Linked DNA regions of Daphnia pulex. The protein of the gene in region 2 interacts with the protein of the main gene of each other region in a pairwise test. Links are inferred from orthologs where the notes say so. Each region holds a gene or a part of one and is shown on either strand. Other genes may lie near its edges.

The links.
Region 1: the proteins of negative elongation factor B-like (region 2) and negative elongation factor E-like interact in binary tests that used the Homo sapiens proteins (3 or more experiments, as listed by UniProt). The link is inferred for Daphnia pulex from reciprocal best matches to the Homo sapiens genes NELFB and NELFE.

The regions. Positions count from the first base shown.
Region 1 is NC_060021.1:9,953,242-9,956,548, forward strand, and holds negative elongation factor E-like, read right to left. Parts: upstream 2,146-3,307; 5' UTR 2,055-2,145; coding exon 1,974-2,054; intron 1,911-1,973; coding exon 1,602-1,910; intron 1,543-1,601; coding exon 1,393-1,542; intron 1,325-1,392; coding exon 1,233-1,324; intron 1,175-1,232; coding exon 1,120-1,174; intron 809-1,119; coding exon 697-808; intron 628-696; coding exon 554-627; 3' UTR 501-553; downstream 1-500. UniProt on the Homo sapiens protein: Essential component of the NELF complex, a complex that negatively regulates the elongation of transcription by RNA polymerase II.
Region 2 is NC_060017.1:4,644,680-4,648,782, reverse strand, and holds negative elongation factor B-like, read right to left. Parts: upstream 2,801-4,103; 5' UTR 2,648-2,800; coding exon 2,366-2,647; intron 2,307-2,365; coding exon 2,267-2,306; intron 2,211-2,266; coding exon 2,062-2,210; intron 2,006-2,061; coding exon 1,945-2,005; intron 1,887-1,944; coding exon 1,765-1,886; intron 1,662-1,764; coding exon 1,167-1,661; intron 1,108-1,166; coding exon 957-1,107; intron 897-956; coding exon 817-896; intron 759-816; coding exon 657-758; intron 597-656; coding exon 378-596; intron 313-377; coding exon 190-312; 3' UTR 159-189; downstream 1-158. Other genes in the region: malonate--CoA ligase ACSF3, mitochondrial-like, read left to right, coding at 3,180-3,549, 3,607-4,060. UniProt on the Homo sapiens protein: Essential component of the NELF complex, a complex that negatively regulates the elongation of transcription by RNA polymerase II.

The DNA of each region.
Region 1 (3,307 bases), on a different chromosome or scaffold from region 2:
CGCAAAGCATTTATCTGTTATAAGCTAATAGGTCTGCGTCTGTCGATTTTGAGATATATTTTTCCCCTTCCATACGTATCGCTTGACAAATGGAGCTAGATTCTTGTCCCCTCTTTCCATAATATTCTTTCAAAATCAATACTTTATGCACTTTGAACGTCGGGAAAATCGTTCACCTTCGCACACCGCATTCCGCTGTCTATGTGATTACTCAACAACAAACAGAATTCCGTTTGCAATGCCCCGAAGAGTCTAATGTTATTATTACGTCGTTATGATCGTTTCAAGGTAAAATTACTTTTCTGGAATGGGGGCGAAGGGGATGGAAAGAGGCAATTTATCGTATATAAATGTTGGGGGGAATTAAAAAAAAGAGATTTGATCCGGGAAGCTAAATATTCTCTCGTTTGGTGCCCGTCTAAAAATAAAACTTGTTTTTGTTTTTTTCCATGTATTTCTGATGGGAAATTTATGTAAAATGAAATATCACTGTACATCCACCACGAGAAAATTACAATTACATAGAACCGCCTGTACTGTGATGATTTACTTTTTAAAACAATTCCTCTTCATATGTCACTAAATCGCGCTTATCTTTATAGGATCCTTTCTGAGAATTGCGAGCCGCTGAAATGGAGAAAACAAAAATAAATGACATTTCATCAAAACTAGAAAGCTCAATAAAATAAGGCTAACCTATTGTGGACCACGTAGCGGATGATGTTGCATCGTTTATAGGTTCGATGACAGGTTGACGCCTTGCGAGTGACACTTTTAGTTGAATACCGGATACCATGCTACCATTCATCTAGTATTCAGTCACAAAAGAAAAACAATGGCAGTGTATATCATTATTACATTCGTCATAGGGGAAATTTTAGTGACGATAGAATCTGGTGCGCTTAACAACCTGGAACGCCTTTTTTAAATTTCGAAATAAATTTACTACGAGCCAAAAGTTCCCACTAGGTATATTGGGCAAGAAACTTGGTATAAAAATTCCCATTACGATTTGGTCAACTACTAAAGCATTTAAAACCCACAGGATTTTGTTTGTCTATTTTAGTAAAATAGGCAAAAGTGAGGAGTAGATTTTTTAAGGGAATTCTCTATACATACTTCACTGATGGCTCTGTCTGCTGAAGTTGTTTTGTCGAACGTAACGAACCCGCAACTGAGAACAAAAAGGTATTTAATATTTTGCTACTGTTTGCTTTAATAGAAGATATTACTTTTTCTCAATTTCCATTGAAATGTTTACAACATTTCCAAAAGACTGGAAAGCTTTTTTGAGGATTTCTTCTGTAATGCTGTAGCCAAACACCTAAAAATGGCAAACAATGTGATTAATCAACACATTTCATCAAAAATCTACAGCCAAGAAATGATTACATAAACTGTGTGCCCCACTGTAGGTTTCTGGTGCTTCACTGGAGAAATGGCAGGAGAGGTAGGTGTTTCTTTGGGGTTTGTTGGACTAATTGAAGCTGGTTCAGCATCTGATTCTCTTGAAGAAATGAAATTTTCATAGAGATTGGGAACCTAAGCAGAAAGGAGAATGCTTGAACACAGTTATTTGGATTGGATAGTGTTGTTGTTACCTTGCTTTTGGTTCTAGCTTCATGTGTGACATGTTCTTCATTAGAAACCATACTTCCTTGACTTGAAGAAAACGGTTGGAATCCACTTGGTGCTCGATCAGAAGAGGAAAGTTTTCTTTCTAAGCCTCTTGATCTTTTGAATCCAGTAGTTTCTGTTTTCTCGCTAGGTTTTGGAATGGCTGAAATGGCTCCGGACTTCAAGAGCTTTTTAGCCACTTCTCTGGCGTCTCTTGCTTCTGCAGGTCTTTTGAGTGCAGGTGTTTTTTCTGGTTCTGGTTTGGGTGCTTTCAGTGCTTGCAAAGCTTTTTTCTATTTCCAGTATACTTCATTAGTAAAATAGTAAAAGGTATATACTATTTGCATGCAACCCACCTTCTTTTTAAGTTTTTGATATTTAGTTTGCAGCATTAATTCCTCTTCTGTCAAATTGGAGGGGAAATGAAGATAAACCATTTTATTAAGCGTTGACTTTGATTTTGTTCGTTCGTTTTGCAAATTTAACGTTAAATTTCGTTGTTGTTTACGCCGCCCAAGGACGAGTTGTAGATTTCGACGTTAGATGTCGCCTGTGGAATTCTTACGTAAATAACAATAGCAAGGGACCTGGTAACAGAACATTTTTTTTTCCCTCAAAAGGACCAATCCAATCACAAGTGTTTAGGTCACGTGTCTGAGCCTCGTAAACGGAAATTCCAGCCATTCACGATCCTTGGCCGCCGTAGCCGTCAGACGTGAGTATACCAAGGGGGAGAGAATAGACAGATTCGAGTACGAGAAACTGGTGTAACGAGACTGTGTGTGTGTGTGTGTGTAGCTTGAATGAAAAATCGATCCATCTGCAGTTGCTGCTGTTCTCATCATTCGTCGATACGAGCCTAGGTATAATTTACAGTGGTGATGTGTCAAGGTTACAAACATTTTTTCACACCTTTGTCTCCTACTTGATTCTTTTTATGGATTGTGCAGGTGTGTAGTAGAGCCCGTCCGTTTGCCGGCCTCATGATAGTACAACACGATACACTACAGGCTAGGTGAGTAAAACTGTCAATAGTTGCGCAATCTGTCTTTTATTTTCCAAAGTGCCGGCTAGCTAGAGAGTTTTTTCAACCCTCGAGTTATTCGAGAAACTTTCAAGGTTCTCTCCTTTCGAGTTAGGGAGAGACGACGATTCTTTTGTTCCATTTCGACTCGCATTTTCCCCCCTGGAAGTAGACACAGACACACAAAAAAGGGCAAAATAGTAGTAAAAATATAGTAGAGACACTTGCCCAGGAGAACCATCGAGTGGGCGGTGTAGTAGTAGTAGTATTATAGTAAGGTTCTTTCTCCCTCTTCTGGTTTGGGTTGGACACAACAATGGGGACCCCCAGCCTCTTTTGAAAAGAAGTAAAAAGGGGAAAATGCTTTTTCCCCACCAACCCCTGTACAGGTTCTTTTTTCCCCTATTATTTTCGGTCATGGTGGGAAAACAATTCAACTGAGAAAGACGACCAAAAAATGATGTGCCACAGTGCCAGTGTGTGTGTGTGATGAGGTCATAGTTGTTGATCAGAAGAACACAATTTCTGCCCTGTCATATTAATAAGAAATGGGCTGCTGCTGGCGTCTGAAAAATCAGTCGACTGGCGTGTAGTTCGGTCATTCTGTGAAAAAAAAAAAGTTTTTATTTTGGAAGATGTCGAGTGTAGTAGAATTGTAGGCGCGCG
Region 2 (4,103 bases):
AAGGATCACATCAAACTGGAGGACTGTAAGTAGTTTTTGAATTTGATGTTTTTTTATGGCTACTCCATATTGACTAAGTTTTATTCTCTTCTTGTAGATGAGATTCATGATGGGATGAATTTGGAGCTCTATTATCAATAAATCATCATTAAATCTTGTTTGTAAGCCTGACCAATACACTGTTTTATTCTACATTGACATTGGAGTAGGTACATTCATCATCAACACAGAGTCATCATTGTGGACTCCTTGAGTCATAGATGATGGGTTCAGCTGGTATGATTCAATTCTTTGCTCCAGTTGCTTATAGACCTAAAGGCAAAGCACATTTATGGACATTTTCTTTTTTTTCTATGCCAATATAATAATATTTTTACCTGATGCATGATTTCAGGGGATTGAGGATTTGGTTGAAGTGCTTTCATTAAGGTATCAAGTCTAGCAGCAGGTAGCTTATGATGAACATACCACACAAGTTTTGTTAAATGTCTGACAACATTCTCCTTGCCAATTGATGTGAAAAAAAATTCATCAAAAACAACTGTGCAAAACATTTCATTGACAAATTCATCCTGCATTGGAATCAGATGGGCAACCTATTTTCCAATTATAAAGTTATTTACTTTAATGATCTAATAGGTAAAATAGGATATTACCAAAGTGTGAAGGAAAGGATCTTCGAATGATCGTTCGCCGTGACCAACAGCAAGCGTGCCCAAAACACGAGTTAAAGCCACTTTGTCTCTACTTCTTGCCACCTAAATCCGAGGAATGACAGTAATAAATGCCATTATTCACATATAGTATAAATAATACCTGGAGAGTGTAATACATTGCTAGAACACAAGGTACACTACTTTCAGATATGTATGCTTGGAATGCATCGGGTGGAGGTCCTATTATTAGAAGCATTAAGTAAACGTGCCTTGAAACTTCACAGTAATGGTTACATGTACCTGAATGTTCGATAATGGTCAAAGCTGATTCACGTTCATCACTGGGTAATTTCGAGTTTAGAGATCGGACTTGATCATCCACCATTAGCGACATGAGAGCCGGAAGAAATTTCGTGACAACTTGAGAATCAAGCCGTGGTTCCCGAAATTCCTGCACAAGATTACTGAAATTAATAAAGGAATAATGGTTGTTTTGAATCTTCGTCCTACCTGAGAATCGATCATCTGCCATGCGCTTAAACCAAGCGCAAGCATCCGTAACAATAAAAGTAAAATATGGTGTTCTCGAGGCAAACTTTCTGATGCAACAAGGTTGTGCAAAATCTTCAACGATGACGTAGCTAAGAAATGGACGGCATAGGGATCGCACAGCATCATAGACAGATCTCCAAGAACTTGTTCCTGGCCACTTTTTATACCGTCGAGAAACGCTTGAATCTCTCGAGAACGTTTGGTGTCGACATTACGTTCCCTTATGCAAGCATCCACGCACCAGGTGAACTTGTGACATGGATCAACGTTTGTAATTTCTTGCACTTCCGTCTCATGTAGAGCCATAAGCAGTTCAGCACGCAATGTACAATAATGAACGTTACGAGTACGTAAAAATAATGTTCGTAAGAACTGCAAAACCATATCGTACAGCCGAACGTTATTTCCGATCATATGCGCTAGCTTCTGGACCACTTCTCCTTGGCGGCGAACCTGGGAATCGAAAGAAAGATTTTTATTTTTCTCCTTGACCAATAAAAAAGGTATATATTTTGTCGCAGCGCCACAAAGACCATTTAATACCATTTCATTTTACCTTAGGAGATGGTAGGAAAAACAAATTTGTCAGATTATTTTGATCAAAGAGAAGTTGTTCTTTTTCCTTGATATATTGACTGAGTAAAGGTGAAACCTCATCACCAAAAAGGGATTGGTTGTCTAAAATTTGAATGAAAAGTTATAATACTTGTATTTGAAATGTTATCTAAGAGGATACCTTTCCACATTTGCCTCTTAACCACAGTATCACAATCATCATAAAGTTCTTTGTCTTTCACCTGAGATCAATCATTTCATTAAATTCTGAATTCAAATAATAAATGTATTACATTACCAAAACTTTGAGGTATTTTTCATCAACATGAGAAAGGTGTTTCATAACTGCCATAACAACTGGCCTTAGAGCTTTAGTTTTAACTACAAGAAAGCTTTTGTTCAACAATTCTTTCAATTTCTTGTCTTTCTCTTTTCCTTCTTTTTGGCCTGAAGATAGTTAATGTAAAATAAAACTGATTTTAAAATAATTAAAGATGCATTACCTAAATCAGCAATTTGGGCCAAAAGCTTATCACGAAGTGCCTAAAAGCATAAAAATAATTGAAAACTAAGTGTGTTTTAAATCTTTTCATGTAAACAACCTCCATGACAGATATGTGGAAATCAAGCCGCTTTACTCCATGTAAATCCAAAAGTGGCATCATTGGTCTTAAAGAAGGTAGAAGTATTCCATTTTCAACTTGAAATTCTTCGATGGCTTGAAGAGGATCACTACACGAAGTCAAAGCTTCTCTGAGAAATGTTCCTCCGGGTATTCCAAGGACTTCAAGACCAGATGCAGATGGAGTGCTGGTTGATGGTGTTACACCAGCCGGCTGACCAGCTGCATTTGGAACTGCCGAGGAAGAGGGATTTCGACTCATAATTCAAAAAAATAACGTTTCACACGTAATGTATTTCAAATTATAATATCCCGAAGAATCAGTTTCTTCGCGCAGTTTTCACTTTTCAGTGTAACTCCCGGACACAAATTTCCAACAACAAGTTTTTGTTGACAGTCTAGACAACGTTGCCGTTTCACGAGTATTATAGAGGAGCATCTAATTAGAAAATAATTTAATTACAAAATATTGGGTGGTTGGACCCCAATTGTAATTGTTTTGATTTTTTCCCCTTTATATACATAACATTTAAAACGATTATAGAAAAGATTGCAAACGATTGTGCAAGCCTGTTGGTCTTTTTGACTTGCGAAAAGAGGCCGGGAGCTACAGCAGACGACATAAAGTATTTTTTTTTTGTAAACAAACACATCAGTTGTCTCTATCCAGACTTCCAAGTTCCAAGGTTACTTCATAGGATTATTAATATTCTTATCAGATTCGAATTTTATCTCGACGTGCAGAATTACACCTTTATAGATGATAAGATATCTCACGATTTATTACTTGACTGATGAATAACATGACGATGCTCTCTGTTTTTCTAAAGTCATTGAGATCCGGTGTACTTAATTCAACCCTTCGAAGTAGACCATACTCTATCAGTAATACAGATCCTCCAGGCAGAATTCAATCCACGATGGAAAATCGTGGTATCATTCCTGCACATCGAATTGCTCTTCAACATCTCAATCGAGTTGCTATTAAAGACAGCCATGGATCTCATACCTATTTGGATGTGTTGCTTAAAGCCATTAAATTGTCAAATATGATTAAAAGTTCTATAGGTCCAGAAAAAAATCAAGAAAGAATTGGCTTCCTCTGTCCGAATGACTCTACCTATGTTATATCTCAGTGGGCCTGTTGGGCGGCAGGGCACATTGGTATCAAAACATATATCAAAACATAAAGTTCTCTAATAATGATTATTTCTATTGCAGCTGTACCACTCAGTCCGGTTCATCCTCCATCTTTGTTGGGTTACTATGTCAAAGACTGTGATGCTGCCTTAATAATTGCTTCTCAAAGTCATTCCCAATTGCTTAATGCTGTCCACGAAACAGTTGGTCAGGATACCAAATCTGTAATTCTAGAAGAATCATGGCAACAAACCATCAACCAAAATGTTACACCCACCCAACTAAAATCCATTCTCTGTGACACAAAGCCAATGGAATTTTATCAGAATTCTGATGCTATGATGCTGTATACTAGTGGAACCACCGGCAAACCCAAGGGAGTTCTACTGAGTCATAAAAACATCGATGCTCAGGTACGAATGTTGATTGAAGTATGGCAATGGTCCAAAAAAGACGTCATCGTTCATGCGCTTCCACTTCATCACACTCATGGTGTTATAAACGCTTTGCTGTGTCCCCTATATGTAGGAGCCAGGTATTCGAATTTAAATGAAATTACTTACTGTTATCGACACTAA